Regions from separate parts of the Mus musculus genome. Here regions 1, 2, 3, 5, 6 and 7 are each reported to be linked to region 4. Evidence: microRNA targets listed by miRTarBase, many of them from high-throughput screens and not tested one by one. Region 4 holds a microRNA gene; each other region holds the end of a gene's coding sequence.

The links. Region 4 holds the annotated microRNA mmu-miR-7b-5p (UGGAAGACUUGUGAUUUUGUUGUU, at 1,914-1,937, opposite strand). A microRNA usually pairs through its seed, bases 2 to 8, with sites in the 3' UTR of a target mRNA and lowers its output. Matches are read on the target gene's strand: a 7mer-m8 pairs with bases 2 to 8, a 7mer-A1 pairs with bases 2 to 7 and ends in A, and an 8mer does both.
Region 1: the mRNA of Iglon5 is a reported target of mmu-miR-7b-5p. Seed matches in the 3' UTR shown: 8mer at 1,162-1,169.
Region 2: the mRNA of Dync1i2 is a reported target of mmu-miR-7b-5p. The part of its 3' UTR that is shown has no 7-base or 8-base seed match.
Region 3: the mRNA of C9orf72 is a reported target of mmu-miR-7b-5p. The part of its 3' UTR that is shown has no 7-base or 8-base seed match.
Region 5: the mRNA of Csrnp3 is a reported target of mmu-miR-7b-5p. Seed matches in the 3' UTR shown: 7mer-A1 at 394-400 and 7mer-A1 at 1,261-1,267.
Region 6: the mRNA of Tada3 is a reported target of mmu-miR-7b-5p. The part of its 3' UTR that is shown has no 7-base or 8-base seed match.
Region 7: miRTarBase lists Slc22a23 as a target of mmu-miR-7b-5p. Seed matches in the 3' UTR shown: 7mer-m8 at 1,403-1,409, 7mer-A1 at 1,060-1,066, 7mer-A1 at 911-917 and 7mer-A1 at 672-678.

The regions. Positions count from the first base shown.
Region 1 is chr7:43,471,874-43,475,000 of GRCm38, forward strand. It overlaps Iglon5 (IgLON family member 5), which reads right to left. Exons shown (of 8, transcript NM_001164518.2): 8 at 1,031-2,678. The coding sequence ends at 2,590. It overlaps Vsig10l (V-set and immunoglobulin domain containing 10 like), which reads left to right. Exons shown (of 10, transcript NM_001368881.1): 10 at 1-141. Among named protein-coding and RNA genes, the nearest start is that of Gm39000, 6.9 kb to the left of the region's middle.
Region 2 is chr2:71,262,464-71,265,590 of GRCm38, forward strand. Dync1i2 (dynein cytoplasmic 1 intermediate chain 2) reads left to right here. Exons shown (of 16, transcript NM_010064.4): 16 at 185-840. The coding sequence ends at 298. Among named protein-coding and RNA genes, the nearest start is that of Dync1i2, 52 kb to the left of the region's middle.
Region 3 is chr4:35,190,447-35,193,446 of GRCm38, forward strand. C9orf72 (C9orf72, member of C9orf72-SMCR8 complex) reads right to left here. Exons shown (of 11, transcript NM_001081343.2): 10 at 2,739-2,848; 11 at 839-2,622. The coding sequence ends at 2,436. Among named protein-coding and RNA genes, the nearest start is that of C9orf72, 34 kb to the right of the region's middle.
Region 4 is chr17:56,241,827-56,244,953 of GRCm38, reverse strand. It overlaps Mir7b (microRNA 7b), which reads right to left and starts at 1,966; the gene lies at 1,856-1,966. A230051N06Rik (RIKEN cDNA A230051N06 gene) reads right to left here. Exons shown (of 2, transcript NR_155493.1): 2 at 2,149-2,798.
Region 5 is chr2:66,022,746-66,025,872 of GRCm38, forward strand. Csrnp3 (cysteine-serine-rich nuclear protein 3) reads left to right here. Exons shown (of 7, transcript NM_153409.5): 7 at 1-3,127. The coding sequence ends at 278. Among named protein-coding and RNA genes, the nearest start is that of Gm52514, 96 kb to the left of the region's middle.
Region 6 is chr6:113,364,195-113,367,321 of GRCm38, forward strand. It overlaps Tada3 (transcriptional adaptor 3), which reads right to left. Exons shown (of 10, transcript NM_001372392.1): 10 at 2,439-2,986. The coding sequence ends at 2,794. Among named protein-coding and RNA genes, the nearest start is that of Tada3, 12 kb to the right of the region's middle.
Region 7 is chr13:34,180,430-34,183,556 of GRCm38, forward strand. Slc22a23 (solute carrier family 22, member 23) reads right to left here. Exons shown (of 10, transcript NM_001382849.1): 10 at 1-2,882. The coding sequence ends at 2,525. Among named protein-coding and RNA genes, the nearest start is that of Gm52037, 16 kb to the right of the region's middle.

The sequences.
Region 1 (3,127 bases), not on the chromosome of region 4:
CTCATCCCATGAGTGTGTAACGATGGATATCGATAACTTTCCCTCTCTGAACTGAGAGCTCAGTGAGGCGCACACCACACATATACCAGCAGAAACATAGCCTGGCATATAGCAGGCACTCAATAAATACTCGTGGACTGATGAAATGTGCTAGTGCCTGCAAAGGGCTACTGGTGTTGCTCCTATCCTTGGCAAGATATATCTTCCTTTTCCAACAAGAGTTCCAATAGGAAATTTAGAGTTACAAGAGTGAGGATTCTTATGGCTGCAAGCAACAGACATCGGGCATCATATAGTGCAGGGTAACACAAGCACTTGGGAGGTTGAACTAGGAAGATCGCATACTTAGGCCAGAGTCTCCCAGGGAGACCTTTCTCAAAACATTAAGGATGTTTCCATAGTAGAGCAGCTGCCTAGAATCCCCCAGTGAGGGGGTGAGAGTGTGGCTCAGTGGTAGAGCCCCTGCCTAGAATCTCACGGTGAGGGGCTGGGGCGTGGCTCAGTGGTAGAGCTTCAGCCTAGAATCTCATAGTGAGGACTGAGTTCAATCCCTAGTACTGTATATACAAAAGGGGAGGAAAAAAAATCAAGATTTTGTGTCTTTTTTTTTTTTTTAATCACTGCCAACAGAAAGCCTGACACAAGTTAGTTTATATAAACACAGGTTTTATTGCTTGTGTGTGGGAGAGGGGGCGTCAGGTAGATTTTGATCCAGCTGCTCTAAAGATGCATTCTGACGGATTCTCCAGCCTTGCCCCTTGTCTTTTTCTGAATTGCTGTCATTCTTTCAATCTTACGCTGGCCTCTTCCTCATTGCTACCTGCTTAGCCCTCTCCACTGTACAGAATAGGTAGAGTCACCCTGCATCCTTAGGCTGTGACACTGAGCCTCTTTGACCAGCCAATTGGAGCTCACTTCCCAAACAGGCAGAATTAGGAAAGGCACTGGGAATTCTCTATCAAATGACCATCCCTCCTTTGCGGTCCACTTGCCCAAATTCTCAATGACATTGACTTCCACAGGCGGGGACTTTGGAAAAAGGCGTTTATTGGTGTGGTGGTCTCAACACTCCCCATGAATTGGAACACACGGCCCCCAGGGCCCCCCTCCCACCTCCCCTTGTCGCCCTCCCCCTCCCCACCCCATCCCGGACCCTGGGAATGGAAGACAATGTGGGATGGGGCCCACGCCCCCGTCTGAGGTACAGTCACTGCCCCTTGCCCCCCTGCCCCTCTCTGCCCTCGTCTTCACCAGGCTCGGAGTGGTGTGATTTTGGGTGTGTGGTTACTGGATTTTGGGCTGGTGGCATGGTGCCTCTGCCTGGGCTCAGAATGTCTGTGCGTCTCCTCTCTCCCAACTCTGTGAGGCCTGACGTGTAGCAAAGTGAGGTGTTCCCATACACAGAACCTGTCAGCTTCCTGTGTGGATGACAGTGGCCCACTCCGGGGAAACTGCTGCTAGTTACAGACTCTGGGGCAGGTGAAGCCAGGAGCTATTGCTGGTCAGTCGCTGGTGTGCATGTGTGCGTGCATGTGTGCATGTGTATGTGTGTTTGTGTGTGCATGAGCGTGCATGTATGCATGCTGTGTGTGTGTGTGTGTGTGTGTGTGTATGTGTGTGTGTGGTCACAGCAGCCTTTGGAGGTATTATGGGTTGAGAGGCCAGGGAGCAGGTTGTCAGAGAGCCCATACTTATGGGCCAGCTGCTGGGGCCCAAGGGCAGCTGGAGGGTACCACTGTGGCCAAGGGGAGTCTTGGGGGTATGGGTGGGGCAAAGCACTGAGACAGACAGGTGACAAGTGCCACTAGCCTATCAATTGAATGGAAGCACCGATTGGCCCGGGAAGAGGGCCAGAAAGTTCAGGGGAAGGGAGGGGAGGAGAGGGACAGGGCAAGGGAGGTTTCAGGCCACTGAGCCAGTGATGGAGCGTCTGGCTGCAGGCAACTGGTGATGGAGCAGGGAGAAACAGCCTTCATGGAGATCCCCACCTATTCACAAAGGCTGAGTGACACCTGACACCCACCCTACCTGCCCCTTCAATAGGGAGGAGAGGGGTAGGTGTTCATGCATATATGGGAAGGTGGAAAGCTGGCAATCTTCTTGTCAAAGCTTCCACCACGAAGCCCCCATACCTACCTCCAGCCAAAGGAAGAGAGGCAGGCAGCAGGGATGGCTAGGGGCCATGGGGGGGTCTGTGCCAGAGAGGGGTGCCTCCTGGTTCCCTCCCCCAGCACACCTTCACACACACACGCGCACACACACACACACACACACACACACACACACACACACACACACGAGCCAGTTGACAGCCTGAGCTAAGAGAGGGGTGTGGGGTGGCTGGGGGTGGGTCACAATTGGAAACGTGAACGGGGTGGCGAGAATGGCTGTAGAAAGATGCATAATTTTTCATAATCCCTCACAGTGATGGGTTCTCTAAAAGACCTTCCTCCTCTTCTTCTTTCTTCCTCTGTGGCTAAGAGCTCTTCTGTCCCCCTGGAGACCCGTGGCTGGCGCTTGCTCACCCCCTTTTTCTCGCTCCTGGCCTGAGGCCCCCTGCAGGGGGGGATGCGCTGTACTGAATGGTGTCTACATTCTCCACCACAGCCAGCTCAGGGCAGAGAGGAGGGTCAGGGGCCCTGGAGGCCTTGGAGCTGAGTTCTCCAGGGATCCTGGGCCTGGGGAAAGAAAAATGATCACAGGGGGATGCTGGGATGATGGGGAGGCCCTGCAGGTCTCTCTCCTAGGTGCTTTCTCCCCCTTCAGCTTCTTGAGGGTCAGTGTGATCAGAACTCTCTGGGGCTTGGGTTCCCTGAGCTGCCCTCATCTGTTTTGGTCTCCATATCTCCCAGATCACCCCCATTTCCTTTCTGGATCCTTGAGATTCCCTTTTCCCTGTTCCTGTCCGAATTTCTAGCAGTCACTTTCTCAGCAGACCAGGAACTTCAGGACAGCTGTGTTTGCTTGACAGTTTGTTGCATTTTGTTTTTTGTTTTGTTTTGATACCACCTTGTTTGCTTTGCTGGGGAGGGGATGTACTGATTTGCTCATGCTAGGAAGATGTTCTACCTCTGACTCACACGCTCATGCCCTCACTGGGGGAGTCTAGGCAAGTACTAAGCTACAT
Region 2 (3,127 bases), not on the chromosome of region 4:
CATGTTTTACAAACACCTTTTGTTTTGAAATGTTGTAAATCATTGTTATAGTCGCTGTAATTATGGAAAGGCTCTTTAGGTCAGTTATTACTTTTCAACAGAAAGATTACTTGAAAACAAAGTAATAGTAGATAAGATGAATTTTTATTTCATTGCTCAGCAAACATTGTCTTTCTTTTAACAGCAGATCGCTGTTCCCCGAAATGATGAATGGGCAAGATTTGGCCGAACACTCGCAGAAATTAACGCAAACCGAGCTGACGCAGAGGAGGAGGCAGCTACCCGAATCCCTGCCTAGCCTGAAAAGCGGCTGTAGCCTTAGCAAATTTGGCAAAAATGATTAAGTAGATCTCAAACTATTTGCATGCTTCTGATTAAATGAGTGTTAAAAGAAAATGCCATGGATAATCTGGGTTTAATACAGGAAGCAAAGCTTACAATGCCTTTTTATATTATATTCACTTTGTTTTGGATTGGTGTCATTTTTAATACAGCTGACAACTTTACAGAATGCAGCCTTTTCTGAATTCTAACACTTGGGTGTATATTGTTAATTATTCTTTTGGATTCTTTTGAACTTGTAATACTATATATAATTATTTCTAAAGCACAGATTAAGTAAGTTCTGCATATTTCTAAGTAGCCACAATTCCTTATTCCGCACTAAGTACATACCTCCGTGTCAGTGGTGTTCTTCCTGTCCAAGTGTATAGGAATATTGTTCCCTCCCCGCATGCCGTCGCCTACCTGTTGTAAGTTTCATGTTGATGCCATTTCCCTTCTCGATAGTTCTATGGTAGTTATCTATAAATAAAAACAAATATATGCTAACTTCTCAAATTTTCACTTTTACTTTTTGAAATTTGAAATTTTCTCTTAAAAATTTTTTGTTTTTAAGTTCCTAATGCAAGCAGCCACCTTAAATAGTTTTTAGCCTTAAATATACACCATGTACGGATAATGTTGCTCTCCCTGGGCATTGCAAACTCATGTTGGAGAATTTGTCGGTGGAAATGTTCTCTTAGGTTAGCTTCTGCCTGACTCTGTTACTTGTCCTGATGTAGCTTGTTCTGAAGAAAAAATGCTCACTTCTTAGTTTGCAGGGACCGAGTGCACTGTGTATGTACGCTCTGAAGCGTGGCTGCCTGGAGAGAGAGAAGCTTGCCTGTGGTGCAGCAGCCACACAGGAGCTGTGCTCAGTGTCCATACTCGGCTCTACTCTTGGGATTTGCTAGCACAGTTTTACAAACACTCAAGGCAGATAGCAATGTGTGCATTAGTGTAGAAGTCGGCTGTGTCAGGACAGGAGGGAAAGACTGGGATCAGACCTTACAGGCTTACATGCTCTGAGTTGTCCTTTCTTGGTCTTCGCCTTCAAATCCTGAGTATCACTCTTCACTCATAGGACCTGAACTAAAGCATTAGAAATCAGAATTTGAACTTTTTGGATGTTATAAGAAGGATCAAGACGTCTCCATAACAACTTCTCCACTCTTAGCACTCTATGGTATAAGGAATAGTTGGCTAGGAATACTAGACCCAAACTATAGTTCTAGCTTTGACATCTCTGAGAAACGTGATGTTAACCAAGCCTGAGCCTTACTTATTCTTATTATGAATTGTCAAATACATTATTTCTAATTTGTCTCTCAACTCTAAAGTTATTAACCTTATTTGTTTCAGTTACCTTTCCACTTTTGAATCTTTAGTTTTCATAAGTTGCCCCCACAGTTGCCTGTTACATACCAAAGAGCCATCTCAGGTTATCTCAGGGTAGTAATTTTAAGTCCAAAGTTCAATGCCAGCTGAGTCCCATGTCTTCTGTAGAGGAATTCATATACTCAGAGGAACTGTGTTTTTATTCTGTTTGTAAAAGGGACTAGAAAAAGGAAAACTATAAATGTTAAAATATAAAGGTTGGAAAGTGACACGGTTGATCAAATGGTCACTGGTCTCCAGTTGTTCTTTTAAAAAGGAATTATTTATTCCCACAAAGCAAAAACTCCTTGGCGCTAAGTATTTATAAAATACAATTTGGGGCTAATATTCCTGTTTATAAAATTTTATAAAATAAGTATTGCCGAGGAGTTTCTGCTTTGGGAGAGTAATTCCTCCTCAGCCGTGAGAGAACTGTAACTTAGCCTGCGCATTCAGCCGCAGTGCGCTTAGGACGTGTGCAGCGTGTACTGGCTTTCTGTGTCCTTAGGACGCGTGCAGCGTGCACTGGCTTTCTGTGTCCTTAGGATGCGTGCAGCGTGCACTGGCTTTCTGTGTCCTTAGGACGCGCAGCGTGCACTGGCTTTCTGTGTCCTTGACGTTTGTCATGAGGGACGCGGCTCACTTGGCAGCCGCTCTGCTGTGACTGGCAGGCACACAGGACAGTGAGAGGAAGTCGGTTGGGGTGGAGGATCATGCGCTTTTTACTTTTGGATGCGAAAGACCTTCCTAATCATGACAAATTCTAGCTTACTTGTGACCAGTTTCCTAGACAGGAGACAAGGCTCAGCTTTCAACTTATTCCTAGATTTGGTTGCTTCTCTGCTTTTGAATGGGAAGTTAAAGCTTATCACCTTTGTGTTGAGAAAGCATATTCAGTTTTTCAGGCTGTAGTTAACAGCACTGAGAACTGTGTCATGAAGGGCCGAGCATACAGCAGAGGAAGAAGAAGGAAGGGGGAGTGGTGGCAGGGGAGGGTAACCTGTACTGGTCTCAGATAGACTTCACCACTTAGCCATGCAGAAACTCTGAAGTCTGCGAGGCACGTTGTCCTCCCTCTTTCTATCTCTCAGACAATTAAAAATGTCTTTTTCACAATTCCAGTGTCTCTGTCTGCAGCAGAGTGATTTTCTAACTGGAAAAGCTGCATACTTAGATGTTAACTAGAAGCCAGTTACAGCTCTCACTATACACTGCTCATGGGTGGACCATGAGCATCCAAGGTGTGACATACAGGTCCTGAGCAGAGGTCTAAGGGTTTAAAGTCAACAGCACTGGTTCTTTTGATAACTTAGCTTTAGCATCTGGTTGAGGTGGGGTTGGTTTTCTGTGTTAATCCGAGACATATAACAGTAAGAAAATACTTTAGAGCTGTCATCTTGCTGATTGTTAGGTAGCAGGGACCTATTTG
Region 3 (3,000 bases), not on the chromosome of region 4:
CGTTGGACACCCGTATCAATGACTTGGGGAGAATAAATCAGTTTAAATTATATTACTATCAATGTAATAGGAACTTAAAAAATGTGTGCGCACACACGTGCGTGTTTTAGTGCATACATGGCATCAGAGGGCAAGCTGCGGGGGTTTCTTCCTCCCCCATGTGGGGCTATGATTTAACTCAGGTTATCACGTTTGGCAACAGGCACCTTTACCAAGCGAACTGTCTCTCTGGCCTCAGTAGAACATTTTTCAAAAGAGAATTTAAGAATTATTTTGTATGTGAAATTTGAAGGGGGAATCAAGGTGCAATACTGGAAGTTAAGAAGAAAGCTTTAGCTTTATGTTTTTAAAGGCAGGCTCGTGTAGCCTCACGTAGCTCAGTGGGTCTTGAACTCTGTATTGGAAGCCGGTCTGGAGCGTCTCATCCTGCCCCCATCTCCCAAGGACCGGAAGTAGAAGCATGCACTACACACTGGGCAGTGTGATTACCTTTTCTTTTCTTTTCTCTTCTTTTTTTTTTAAGATGTAAGAGTCTAGCATTATTCGTTAGCTTTAAATATCTTCTTTGAAAAAAGAAGACTAGTTGGTGGGGCAACTGCCTCCCAGCACTTGGGAGGCAGAGGCAGGTAGATTTCTGAGTTCGAGGCCAGCCTGGTCTACAGAGTGAGGTCCAGGACAGCCAGGGCTATACAGAGAAACCCTGTCTCGAAAAACCAAGGGGGGGGGAGCGAAGATGAAAACCAATGGGTTCCGTTCAACACGACTGTCGCAGAATAGGAAGCTGATCACGCCCCCTTTCACAGCAGCGTTTTCCCTAAATAATGAACTAAAACATACACAGAATTTCAAAGGTATTTTATTCAAAATTCCCCATCTAGGAGAAAAGATATATAACAGTGTTTACACATGCTTCAATAACTTATTCACTGTACAGCTTACATTTTCTATAACAACACAGTAAAGCAGCAAAGACAACAATTAGCACTCAAATAAGATTCTACTGTGTAAAGCAATGAGCGGCACACTAGGAGGTGGGACCTACTCGCTTACCATGACGGAGTGCCTTGCAGTTAGTTCACAAGCCATCATGGTCAGTGTGTGTTGTTCTGATTTGTAATGCCAAAGCCACCGTGACCTTTCAGAATAGAAAGCTTTTTCTCGCTAAATCTGGTGGGTGAGGAACGGGGCCCATTTTTATCCCTTTTGTAAAAAATAAATATATTCTCCCTTTTTATGCTAAGTCCACAGTTTTAAATAGAAACACATATTTGTGTTTGTGTATACTCCTACACTGCTGTTGCACAGAACTCCACTAATCAGTACTTCACAGCTAGCGAGATAGTCGAACGTTACAGGAACAGAAACAGACCACTTGAGTTTGCCATAGTAGCACCTAGAAAAATAGCACTGGGTCAGATTTCTCTGCTGTTCCTATGATGCAGGTGACACGGGAAACACCAGAGTACAGGCAGAAACCAAAGGAAAGAGGCAAGACGCTTCCCTGCTCTTCAAAGATCTTATCAGCGAATGTACTCTGACATACTTAACAAGGACTTCTAATCTAAGCCAGGCACACGGCAGCCGTGCAAAGGGTGGTCAGATGAAAGTGACTGGGCCCTGAAATCTGACCCTCTGCCAAGAAATTATATTTTCCAAGATTGGGAAAGGCACAGGAGGTGCGCATTTTAATTCGGCTCAAAAATAATGAAAATTAACCTTAAAAGTTGGCAACAATTATAAAAACAAATGCCACTTTCTTTGACAGAACTACAATAAACCAACAAAAAACTTGTCACAGGTCACGATACTCAGGGCCCATGCATGACCCCTCGGCATTTCTGTACAGACCGAATCTGAAGGACTACGTCTATAAAGGAAGGGCTAACAACTGATTTCACCTACAGCTCTGCCCTATCAGTGTCTTCTCTCAAGAACTAATCTGTAGTCAGACTAAGTTCCTTTCTGAGGAACTGCAAACTTTAAATGCTCTAATGTTTAGCTGTGGCAGAAGTAATCGGACATACCACAGAACACAGAGGGGCAGGAAGTCAACTCACACTTTATCTGTAAAGCTAACGAGGGTTTCAGTGTGGTACATGTAAACCAGGAATCATAAGTTTCCAAGAAAACAAACAAAACAAAACAAAAAACCAATCAGCAGTTATGGTCAAGTGTATATTCCATCATTCATATCTTTAAAAGACAGCAATAGTACTTAGGATAATTGTAAACATAAGGCCCTAAAAGAGTACATCTATTCTAGGAAGAGTCATTCACTGTAACGATGCACCTGACATCAGGTACAGACTTCTACTGACAAGTGTAGTGTACCCTGTCCTGCAGCAGGACTCGGGAGGAAGGATGTGCCCACACACTGCTGAGACACTGTAACAGCAGGTGTGACTGTGAAGAGACAGACACAGCAAACCACACGGTCAAAAGGTCATTAGAACATCACGTTCTTGTACACTAGTGTAGAAAGGTCTCCCAAAGATGAAAGAGTGTAGGCCTGGCTTAATTTTCTCAGCTAGAGCCATTATTATGTTAAGATCGCCCTCTGCTGTTAAATCAAGATCTATCTTCAGGTTCCGAAGAGACTTAAAGGGCTTTTTCCCCTTCTGCCTATAAACAAAACAAAAGAGACAAAAACCCCCGCATTATAATACAGACAATGTTCAAAGGGAACGAACAGCAACTGTCAATGCATAAAGGCTTTCCTCTAGAGGAGCAGGACTCACGTATCATCCTCGATGTACTTGATTAGTGTCAAGGCTTTTCTGTGAAGAATGAGGAGGAACTGTGCAAGGAAAGTACTCCTGAGAGACAGGCCAGGCTTCAAATGGAAGACCTGCAGGGACACAAGACAGTGCAGCTTCCGCGACATTGTTGACAGGATCTGACACACAACACCCATTACAGCCATTTCTTCCGATTTCCAAAGGGCAAGACTCTGGTAGCGGCAAATGTCTGGAAACCCACTGTCCCCTTTTCAGATTCCCT
Region 4 (3,127 bases):
AGGCAGAGTTGGTTATGGGAGGTTATGTGAGTGGACTGTGCAGACCCAAGAGAGGAAACTGCATGGACAAAGCAGCCCCTGGGCTGCTGTGTGACTGAGTTTGATGTCAGCTTTACACGGGTGGAGCTTAAGGGAAGCAGGAACCTCAATTGAGAAAAGGCCTTTATCAGGTATTTTCATGATTAATGATTTAAGGCCATTGTGGGTGGTGCCATCCTTGGACTGGTGGTCCCAGATTCTATAAGAAAGAAGACTGAGCAAGCCAGGGGAAGCAAGTAAGCAACCAGTAAGCAACACCCCTCTATGGCCTCTGCATCAGCTCCTGCCTCCCGGTTCCAGCCCTGACTTCCCTCAGTGATGGAGTGTGGCCATCATTGTAAGCTGAATAAACTCTTTCCTGCCCTTTTCTTGAGTCAAGGTCCTGTCACAGCACCAGGATGCACACTAGGACAGCTGGGGAGAATTGCACAGTGGGGGATGGTTAGTGACTGCATTAGAATGTCACAGATGATAGGTGTTGAATGTTAAGAATGCCATGACCCACCAGACAACAAGTCCACATTTTCTTGGTATCAGTCATGCAACTAGTGGTTGCTTTGTGTGGCGGGCACAGAGTTTTATTGAAAATTGGGCTGGGGCTCCATGGGTACCGTACCCAGTCAAAGCATTTGAAATTCTGAATCCAACACCGTGTATGCTAGGCATGGTTCTCAGGGACTGGAGGCAAGAGAACTCAGTGTTCAAAGCCATCCTGGGCTACATTCAGAGTTAGAGAAAAGCCTGGACTACAGGTGACACTGTCTCAAAGCAGGCAAAGTGAAAAGAGTGAGGAAAAGAAAACAAGAAAGAGAAAAGAATTTCAGGGTTTTCTAGAAGTACCTTTGATGCCAATCCCTCTTTTAAAAGTTTTATGGCCGGGCAGTGGTGGCGCATGCCTTTAATCCCAGCACTTGGGAGACAGAGGCAGGGAGATTTCTGAGTTCGAGGCCAGCCTGGTCTACAGAGCAACAGCCAGGTCTATACAGAGAAACCCTGTCTCAAAAAACCAAAAAAAAAAAAAGTTTTATGTATGCACATGCTTTTAATTCAAACACTCAGGAGGCAGAGGCAGGTGGATCTCTGAATTTGAGGGTAACCTGGTCTACAGAGTAAGTTCTAAGACAGCCAGGTTTATATACAGAAACCCTCTCTTTTTTTTTTTTTTTTAAATGTAATTCTTTTTTTTTTTTTTAAAGATTTATTTATTTATTATATGTAAGTACACTGTAGCTGTCTTCAGACACCAGAAGAGGGAGTCAGATCTCATTACAGATGGTTGTGAGCCACCATGTGGTTGCTGGGATTTGAACTCTGGACCTTCGGAAGAGCAGTCGGGTGCTCTTACCCACTGAGCCATCTCACCAGCCCCAGAAACCCTCTCTTAAAAAAAAAAAAAAGAAAAATTTTTATGTGTGTTTATTTATTTGTGTGTGGAAGCATGTGTGTCACAGGACATGTATGGTCAGAGGACAACTTGCAGGAGTTGGTTTTATCCTTCTACCCAGTTGATCCTGGGGCTCAAGCTTGGGTTCCCTAATTTCAAAGCACTCTTTCCCTCTGAGTTACTCCACTGGCTCACCATTCCCTATTTGAGTCTCCAGAGAAAGCACGGTGCTGTGACCCAGGGCCCTGAGGTTGTGTCTCTGATCCTATCATGTAGATGTGTTTGAGTGACAGGCCAATAGCATGGGAAACACTCCTGCACTCTCCCAGGGCCCGAGACCTTGCTAGACACCCTCTCCTGTCCGTGCTAGACTTCCCTTAACCCCCTCCTGTCCCAGTTTCCTGCCCCTACCTGTTTGTGTATTTCAGGAGAAAGGTGATAGGAGTCCACGCTATGAGGCTGGCTGTGACTTGTTGTCATATCATATCAGAACAACAAAATCACAAGTCTTCCACATAGCACTGGCTCACGTACTCCGCTCCTCGTCCTCATCCTCCTCCGCCAGGTTCAACACCCTCAAGTGCTTCTCTCTCTCTCTCCATAGAGGATTGAGCATAACAAACCCCACTCACTGACTTACCCTCCCTAGACATCCCTTTTCCATTCCATCCCCTGAGACACAGGCAAGATTCATTCTCTACCTGCCCCCCAACTCACACCCTGGCACATCACCAACGTGGGATTTATTGTTCCAGGCACGAGGAGCACACACTTGTCACCCCAGCACGCAGGGAGTAGAGGCAGGAGGATGAGAACTTCAAGATCATCTTTGGCTACACAAGGAGTTCAAAGCTTGGTCTACAGTGTTTTAAAATAATAATAATTATATATATAATTGAGAGAAAAACTCTTTTTAAAAATAAAAAGAACTTGAGATTTAAAGTTGGATTGAGGCTGGCTTTCCCCTCACCACTTCACTTTGGAAATTAGTACACCCAGAGGCACTCATAACATCTCGTTGACCAAATGCTTCGCCTGTACTCTGTGAGTTTGAAGCCAGCCTAGTCTACATAGTGAGTTTCAGAACAGCTAGAGGTACACACAAAAAAACCCTGTTTCAAAAAAGAAAAAAAAAATCCCTCCGTAAAGGACAAATGCCAAGAACCATTAAGAGGTTCCTTCCCTGTACACTCTCCGCCAGAACAGACCCCAAGGCGATCCCTGAAGCTGGGTGTTGAGAGCTTGGCACTGCCAGGGGCCGGGTGCTGAAGCCTAGTCTCTTCGTGACCCGCTGGGAGCTGTCCGAAATCCTGGTGCTGAAGCCGAACTCTGCTCCGAGTCCCTCAGCCGGATGGCGCTGTCCGCGTCTCCAGTGCTGAAACATAATTAGTTATTGGGGGAGGGGGTGGTCAGTGCGGCTCGAGGACACTCTCCCAGCTTCTGCCTTCTGCCAAAATGCCCCGCTCCTTGTTTCTGTTCTTCGTCCTAGGGACCCATCTTCTGTTTTAATCTCTTCCCATGGACCCGGGGTGTTCTAGGCGGGGACGAAGGCGCAAGGCTCTCACCTGCTCCCACATCTCAGGGAGACAGCCCTGGGTTCTCTGCCCTTCCTAAACAGTCCAGTTGGCCTTCTGGAAGATGTGCCAACTTGCATTGTACCCAGAGTCCCCGCTTCCCTCCCTCAGCGCACCTTTTCCTCCTTCC
Region 5 (3,127 bases), not on the chromosome of region 4:
CAGCTGCCAATCCGTCTGTCATCGTTTGCTGCCCCACCTCTGAAAACGATAGTGGGGTGCCCTGTAACCCCTTGTATCCTGAACACAGGTCCAATCTTCCCCAAGTGGAGTTTCACTCATACTTGAAAGGCCCTGCCCAGGAAGGGTTTGTTTCCACATTGAATGGCGACAGCCACATTTCAGAGCATCCTGCAGAAAATCCTTTGAGCCTTGCAGAAAAGAGCAGATTGCATGAAGAGTGCATTCAGTCCCCCGTGGTGGAAACGGTCCCCGTTTAGTTGCTTAAATTATTCTATTACAGGACCAAGTCTTCTATTTAAGGCACTGTATTGCCTTTGCTGGGCTCATCGTTGTTTAAACCTGAAGGCCAAGAGTTATGTGGACTGTGATTAATCTTCCAGACAGTATTTCCTTCCTTCCTTTCTAGCTTCCCAACTGTGGCGTGGCACAAATACAGTCGCTATGGGGATTTTAAACGATTTTGAACTGTTTTGATAGAAAAATGCTAAATTTAAAAAAAATGCATATCTTACAGTTGCCTACCTGTCAAACTGTGTGAAACCTGCCAAGCTATGCAGATCATAGCTCCAAGTTTTAGATTATCGGGCCTGTGCAAGATTGTTAACTAAGACTAGAAAACAAGCAGATTTAGAGTCCTAATTTTTCGATATATCTGAAGATGATGGTGACTTTTTAATGTAAAAGTAATTATTGTAAGAAAAAAAAAGATTGAATCGTTTCTTGTGTATTTTATTTATGGTAGTTTAGAAGTCATGCTTTGAAGAAAATGAACAGCATGTTCATTGAAGCTGAAGACGTGTTAGCTAGCACCACAGAGCATGCCCAGACGATTGCATCTGGAATCCACCCACATTTTTACGATCATGACTCAGCAGATTTGCAAATACTTTCTTAAGGATGAAATAGGCCTATTTTTGCTATTTGGGACAAATGAGTCTATACGTGCAGGTCCTTATGCAGTTTTCTCTCACGTTAAGAGTTAGGACAATCCTCTGGCGAGGGTCTAGTCCTCCGCTCTCCCTCAGCTGAGATAGACGGAATTGCCTTTCCTTTGTTAAACAGTGTCATCTTGTTTCTTAGCTTGGACAGCACCTTTAAACTCAACTCCCTCCTTCAGAATGCACTTTAGTGCCCCTTCACGGTACCTCGTGTGGGATGGGGTCTCAGAAGGCTTTGAAATATTTTTTTTTTAATTATTAAAAAAAAGTAACTAAGGTTCATACAATAGAGAGAGAGGATTCTTCCAATGACATGAAGGAAAATGACTTGTTTCTTGTTTTCCTTCACCGCTCTAGGACCTAACTCAATCCTTACAGCGAGAAGGCTGGGGGTGGGGGCAGAGCCTCAGCACCCCATCACCCTCTACAAATGCAAAAATGTGTAATGCCACTTAATGGCTAGCTGATTCAAGGCAGGCCTGGGCTCACTGACTCATTAGGCTTCGTTTTCTGGAGCTTTTTTTAAAAAAAAAGTCTGTCTTGCCTGGGGTAGTCAGCAGCACATCCCAGAATGCATTGCGAAGGCAGCCACCTCACCTTCTCTTCCTTAGTAAAGAGAACGAATAGAAAGGAGACACTCCCCGCCCGCCTGCTTCGAGCCTCACCTCAGAGGACTTGGAGCAACTTCTTTCCCATCAGCTTAAGCAGCTATAGAACGAGTGTTACGGTTTCCCCCATGCAGTTATTCTGCTGAATCTGTTTTCCAGTTTTGACATTGTATTGTGGCATCATTTCTCATACTTTATGGCTATTTAAAAACGCAGACACACCCCTACTTCGTAGTAACGGCGTCTTCTAAGTTTTTTATGCCTCCTTGATGTGGGCATTTGAATAACTTTCGGATTTCAGTTCCTTACAGAATACTATTTGATCTGACGAGGCTTGAATGTGCTTCAGAGTCCTCTGGTGGGAAGCCGCTACTTAAACTCCATGTGGGGAAAGTACGTTCGCTTGTGGAGTTGTTTCTTCTCTAAACCACCTCAAGACTAAATAAATCAACGCTAATTTTTACTACCATTAAAAGGACTTTGGGTTTGTCATGCTATTGAAAGCAGTAATGGGGGCTGACTACTCCTTTTGGTTGACCGGTGGGGCTAATCTGGTGGGAATTCTGTGGTAATATGTCCAGAGTTCTCTGCAGCGTTGCCATCAGTAGCATTTGGTTTCCAGTTAGGCTGCCTCCTGCCCACACAATCTAAAGGGCAGGGGCTCAGAGAAGAAATGACAAAAAGCTATTGTTCCTTCGTTCAAGCTAATGAAAGAATTCTGTGTTCCATATTTGCTGGGCCATTCCAACCTCTGGAAGTATCTCCTGGTGAGACACTCGCAGGCTATTCTTGGAACAGAGTGTGGGGCGGCCCCGGGTAATCCTGACTAAGGTAGAGTTGATTTGGTGAATGACAGTCCACTTCCTGGATCCTCAGAGATGTTTCTTTCAGTCCAGCTTTATTTTCACAAAGTTTGGAGCATTTTTGTATCTCATTTGGTTTTTCTTTTGTAGTCCTTGCTTTTCAGAAACAGAGCTTTCTTCCTTTCTCTATTCAAGTGAGATAAAAAGTTTCACTCTGCTAAGGATAATTACCTTTCTAAGCATGAAAACAGACATGCTAAGTTTTCACATCCCTAAGTAGACATCCCTCATGAATCAGAATCGTTACAGGCCATCTATTTTAGCAACAATAGCAAATCAAACCCTACTTGCCTTATCTTTATTAGACACACACAAACACAGAATACACATACAACATCCTCTAGAGAGGGGCAGATTGTGGGCAGTAGGTAGTAATGAATACTGGATAGTTAGTTCCTCAAGTACAATCAGGCTCTGCTTTACCTAAAACCATAAAGAGAAGAGAATTTTGAGAGCGATTGGTTGAAAGCATTCAGTTAAAGTCACAAATAATATTAATGAGGAATTATTTCATTGTGACTTCCTTTCCCAGAAGGAACAGAACAGAGAACACAATGGTTGTTCTGGCTTGTTCTTCCTGCTAATAGACCTACTCAATAGAGCAACCCAAGTGCCAGGCAGGTTCCAGGCAAGTGCCTCAGTCATGACTGCTTTTCAAGGGGAGAGGGGCACTTAGCTGCTACCAGGTTGAGACACT
Region 6 (3,127 bases), not on the chromosome of region 4:
TACTGGGACAGGGAGTCCCATACTGAATTATAGAACAAGGACTGCCTCCAAGTCACGTGGCTGGGTTTGTATCCTGGCTCAACCACTTAATCCAAGCAAGATGTATAAACTTCCTAAGCCTCTGCTTTCTCATCTGGGAAAGATGGGATGCTGTTGGTACCCTACTGTATGCACAAACAAGGTTAGGACAGCAGCTGGAACCTAGCTAATACCTTCTGAATACTTAATTTCATCATTATTGTTAGAATTGCTGCCTTTGCTTCATGTGTGGGTCTTTTTTTTTTTTGTCCTGAGAAGATATGAACAGTCTGGGGACAATGAGTCATTACTTGTCCCTGCATCTAGAAGCAGGCAGAGAGCCTGATGTCACTCCCTCAGGCCCTTCCTCCATCTTTCTATTTGTCCAAATATACAGATTAGTCAGACCTTTTTTATTTACAAATGACAAAACTCCAAAACAACCTTGCTTAGGCTAACTGAAGCCTCTCCAGGCTGATGTAACTAAGCAGTCTGTGTCGGGGAGGTCACATGGCTTTGGGCGTGCCTGCTTCTCCAGCTCCTGCGTCTGAGTTGGGGTCCTTCGCAGTGGCAGGAAAGCAGGCCACTGGGTACCTTGGGAACGCCTCCTCTATTTGCTCTTTGTCCTTCCCTTCTGCTTCTCCTCCCCTTCCTTTTCGTTCTGTTGTGTCAGAGACAGGGCCTGATGTGGCCGATGCTAACACTCAAGCTTGATGTCCAGCCCAGGATGACCTTGGACTCAATTTTGCTATGTCCACCCCCACAGTGCTGGCATTACAGGCTGCACCATCTTGCTCAACTCCAATTGTTGTCCAGTTTTTGAGACAAGGTCTCAAGCAACTCACTCAGACTGTCTTTGAACATGCGAAGTAGCTGAGGCTATCCTTGAACTCCTGACCTTGTGTCTACTTCCTAAGGGCTAAGAATGTCGATTCATATAACCATTCCAGACCCCAAAGAGCAATTTTAAGGAAGGCCTGAGTGACCCCAGATTGAGACACATGGCCAGTTTTAGACCAATCATTATGACTGGCTGGGCTAGGGTAACATGTCCACCCTATCTTGACAGTGACATTCCTGAAATGGAGAGATGCCACCCTCTTACTTTTTTATTTTATTTTTTTTAAAGACAGGGTCTTACTATATAGCTCAAGCAGGCCTTGAACCTGCAGCCTTCCTACCTTAGCTTCTGATTACAGGCTTTTCTACTACATCTCTCTTATGGCTAGGTTCAAAGCTCATTGCCTATCCTTTGCCGTAGCAGACTGCCAACCCCCTCCGGCTCTAGCCCTTGCCTGGAGAGAACTGGGAGAGCAGAGTACAGTCTGTGTGCACTCCTTGGACTGACTCCCCTGGCTATGATACAATGTTGGTAGTCCACGCTACATTTGTTATCTGCCCGGATCCTGGTGGGTTCTGCTATCACTGTGGGTAGAACTTTGTGGGGCTGCATGGTTGGGGTTCTGAGTAGGTCAGGTATCACCATGGCTCAGGCCTGTAATCCCAGCAGATATAAGGCTGAACGAAGCAAGAGAATTGCCACAAGTTTAGAACCAGCCAGGAGCCCATTTTCAAAACAAAACTTCTAAAATGAGGTCCAAGTAGACCAGCGGTTCTGAACCTTCCTAGTGATGTGACCCTTTAATATAGTTCCTTATATATTGGAGACTCCCAATCATAAAATGATTTTTTGTGGCTCCTTCATAACTGTTCCGGGTGAGTGGCCACAGCAGAGACCCCAAGCATGCCCCACTAAACCCTTCCACCTGCCTGTTCTTCCTACCCCACAAATAATAGATAGATACTAAACTTGCGGATGGTTTTTTTATAACTTTTTTTGTTTAAAAAATGAAACACAGCAGTCACTTTATTCTTAAGTTTGTACATTCATAACTGTAATTTTGCTACTGTCATGAATCACGATATAAATATCTGATGAGCGACTCCTGCGAAAGGGTTATTCTAGTCCCAAAAGGGTCATGACCCACAGGTTGACAACCACTGCAGTAAAAGATCCCTTAACCCAAGAGATTGTGCTAGCAATGCATAGGAGAGCCCCAATTTGGGCTTAGAAACGACACACAGGGACATCTGGGACAAGGCCATGGCCAGCTGGCTTTAGGTTTTCCTCAGTGACAGACCCTGTCTGCCACCCACAGCTGAAGAGACATCCCAGTGATAGCTGGCATGGAAGAAACACCTGAGGGAACAGGTCCTTGGTGGCCCCGTGCAGTAGCTCTGAATGCAATCCTGCCCCAGGAAACCAGGAACCCACCCTCCTACCACCAGACCCTCAGAAATTAGAGCTCAAAAATAAATGTTCCGGGTGAGTGGCCACAGCGGAGACCCCAAGCATGCCCCACTAAACCCTTCCACCTGCCTGTTCTTCCTACCCCACAAATAATAGATAGATACTAAACTTGCGGGTGGTTTTTTTATAACTTTTTTTTGTTTAAAAAATGAAACACAGCAGTCACTTTATTCTTAAGTTTGTACATTACAAAACCTCAAGGAAGAAGTCCCTGAGGAGAGGTGTGGAGACGGTAAGGGGGGAGGGGATGAGGAACAAGCCCGCTCATCTGGGGCATCAGGCGGATGCTAGGTCCAGGCAGGCGCAGTAGGGCCTTGCATACTGGCTGCACAAAGCTCAGCTGGGTGGCCTGAGAGTGTTTCAGCCCTGAGACTGTTGTCATTTGATAGGCAGCCTCTGGCCAAGGCTTCAAAGGATGTTGTGGACTTCTGCCAGGCCAGGGGGATAGCCAGCAGCAGGTCAGGCTACCCGTCTAGGAGCTTCAGGATGCTTTCCCGCTCCTTCAGGGTCTTCCAGGCCTGGTCCTTTTCCTTCTTTGTAGGGGTGCGCTTCTTCTGCCGGGCAGCCATGATCTTCCGGAAGGCATCCATGACTTCGTTGTCGGCCATGCGGACCCGCTGCCTTAGCTCCTGCCGGCTCACCTCCTCCTTTGCCAGCCTATGGGGACCGTATGTCATGGTTAAAGCCATCTCCAGGGTTTGTCCCTTCCTTTTTTTCCATACTGAGCCTCCTAATAATCCCAGTGGGGGCTGGCACTTCTTGGCCTGTTTGAATAATGACCAATGTGCATATAGATGC
Region 7 (3,127 bases), not on the chromosome of region 4:
AGGGACAAAGGGCCAAGTTTAGGGATGACAGCTTGGTACCAGGGAGCTGGGCTGTGGCCATCTTTCTGGAGCTAGGTCAGAGTGTCTGAGGCCTGGGTGCCTGCTGTCTTTCTCACTTGGTCAGACCACACAGCAAGCTGGCTCACAAGCAAGCTTTCCTGTTTTGGCTATCTTTCATGAAGGTGTTCTAGCAACTTCAGGTGTCCATGCACTGAAGCAGAAACTGAGCTGCTTAGTCTTTCCCTGAGGCTGGCATAAGACACTGCCAGCAGTCTGCCTTCTGGTTGATGGTCCTCTGGCCCCTGCCTCAGTGGCAGCTTCTTTGCTAATCCCTGATGGGTTGCCTCTGGTCGCTGCAGCCATTAACACTGTCTGCATTGGCCTAGTGTTCTTACCACTGTCATTTGAGGTGGAGATTGGAGACCTTGAAAAGAAGTTTCGAAGTGCTATACCTTGACACCACTAACCTAGTGATTTCTGCAGGCCAACACAACCAGTGTAAGCCTGCTCATGACTGCAAATGTCCCATTCTGTCCTTAACAGAAGGTTGCTGCCAGGTGACTTGGTAGCAGGTACCTGGGAAAGGTGAATGGTATCTTACAAGTTTGGCACGCAAAGGCTGCACAGATCACAGAGGCTTTGGAAAGAGAATGTGTACTAACCTCAAGGCATGGAAGAGGGATGACTGAGAGACCAGGGAGAGTGAAGGGAAGCTGGACTTAAAACAGGTATCAAGGACTGGCCACATGGCCGCCCTCCTAGACATGTTGGTCCTCAAGCAAAGCACTCAGGACCCCAGGCATCAAAGAGAACATAGGCCAGCTGCCAGAAACAGGGTTGCATATGGAATCAGTACTCTCAAGAGGGCTTGATCAAGGCGGCTGGATTCCACTGATGTCTCTATCAGATGTGGAAGAGAAGTGGGTAAGACTGTAAGAAACAGATCAGACAAGGAGCTGGAAGGGGCTCAACTCAACCCTTTTTCTGGCCTTTGAATTCTAGCAACTGTCATTTAGAAGTCACTTTGTTGCCTACATAGGCCCAAGGCCATGATTTCCCTGGAAGAGCACGTGGGAGAGACGCATGGCAAGAGGCAAGGCAGATGGTTGATAAGAAGCCACGATGCCCAGAGAAGCTGGTGCCTGAGCTGCTGCAAGAGGTCCAGAGGCTGGTTTCTTAGCAGCCCTGGTGCCCTGCTGTCTGGGGCAAGATGAGGGACACAGATAAAGGACATCCTGGGAGGCTGGTACAGGATGGGAGTTGAGCTTTGGTGAGTTATTGCTTTCTCTCACTTCTTGCTGCTTTCAAGGGACTAGAGGCCACGTGGACTGACCTGTGAGCAACCTGCACTCCTGCCCAGGGCCCTTTTGTGCTGAGTGAGTGACAGGCAGGAAGCCATTGAGGAAGACATGAGGTGGACCGCCTCCAGGTGCTGTGGGCACTGTTGTGATGTCAGAGTGGCAGCCATCCAAGCTGGAGCTCTCTATGGTATGTGCTGGAGACGTGAGTGGCGGCCATGTGTGGGACATCGAGACTCCCTCCTGGGATTTGCCTTTTTCTGTTATTTTCCTTTTGTTTGGAGTTCTGGAAGTGGCCACATTTTCAAGTAGTACTGGCAACAGGGCTGGCTGGGGAAGAGGGACCTTTGCTGCTGGAGCTCAGTCAAGGAAAGTGTCTTAGCAGAAACAAACATGGCTCCCACCTCAACACAACAGCTGCTGTGGACTTAACTAAGCAAACCGGGCGGCGGCGGGAACTGGCGCTTTCTCATCATGTAGGATTTCTGGTGAAGTATGGAAGTTTCCCCACAAAAACTTCCAGATCAAGTACAAAAGGATGATCCTGAAGGAAAGAAAGATTAAGCTGGCTCGTATGACATCTGGAGGCTGTTTTCCCAACACAGCATGGAAACTACCTAACAAACAGAAAGTAAAGTACCCAACTTTAAAATATACAGACTCTAGGAAAAGAAAAAAAGAAAAACAACAATTCATGTACATTTTCCTCTGTGTAAAATGTAGTCCCAAGGACTCTCTGCTTGAGAGGCACAGCTGTCCATGGCAGGGAGCCTGGAGGTAGGGGTCCTGGCCTACAGATGACCTCTGTCTCCTTGAGTGGAGAAGGAAATTGAGTCTGGCCTCCAGGGAGGGGACTGGCCACTGCATTGGTCACTTACAGGGACTTCCTCAGAGTGACCCTCACTCCTGAAGGAGGTTCTGCTTCATGATCAGTGGAGGGGGGAAGGGGATAAAGTGCTTCTCGTAAAAATGACCAAAATAAATACAAACATTGAATGGCAGAAAAGAAAGTCTTCAGAGGGTTATTTCCAGAGCATCTGGTTTCTCAGATGTGTTCCTCGGATGTCTGGAAAGACAGAATTCCCCACACCGGTTGAAAGTCTCACAATTGAGTGGAGTCAGCAGCAGAGATGGACTTCCTCCCTGGTCTGTAAACCTGTGTGCAAACTCTCCCCAGCCCTTCAAGCCCCGGGGGGACTGGTGGAATGGTGGCGTGGTCCAGCGAGCTACATAGTCTTCATGCCATTGGCAGTGGCCCCCTCTGGCAGCCCGTCACCCACTGCAGCCACGTCATGCAGGCCCGAGTAGTCCTTGAGCTCCGCGTTGGTGAGCAGCAAGGGCTGCTCTCCCTTCTTGTGTGGCAGCAGCGGTTGCCGTGTGTAGTGTTCCCCGTTGGCGATATTCTCAGGCAGGTTCTGGTTCCTGCTCTCAGGAAGCAGGAGGATGCAAATGATGCAGATGAGCGTGCAGCAGGCGAAGATGATATGGTGCAGGAAGTAGCCTTTTTGGTTGTGCAGCTCAATAATGGGCGCTGTCAGCATGCCAAAACCTGCACTGGCCAGCACCAGCCCGAGCCCACCACACCTGCATGGGGAGAGAGCACAGGCTTAAATGGAACATAAGGGTTTGGCGCAGGTAGGGTGGAATGGGAGCACAGGTTGGTTGGTATGTGCTAAGTACTATGGCTGTTAGGGTAAGCTCATAGCACTGTTCCAGAAACTCAGTGTTAGAAACCTCATCTCAAATTCAAATGTTGGTGGAATTCAGACATGGGAGGGAGCTTTAAGAATAATTAATATTAGAGGTAGTCAAGAGGTTAGGCCCCCTGT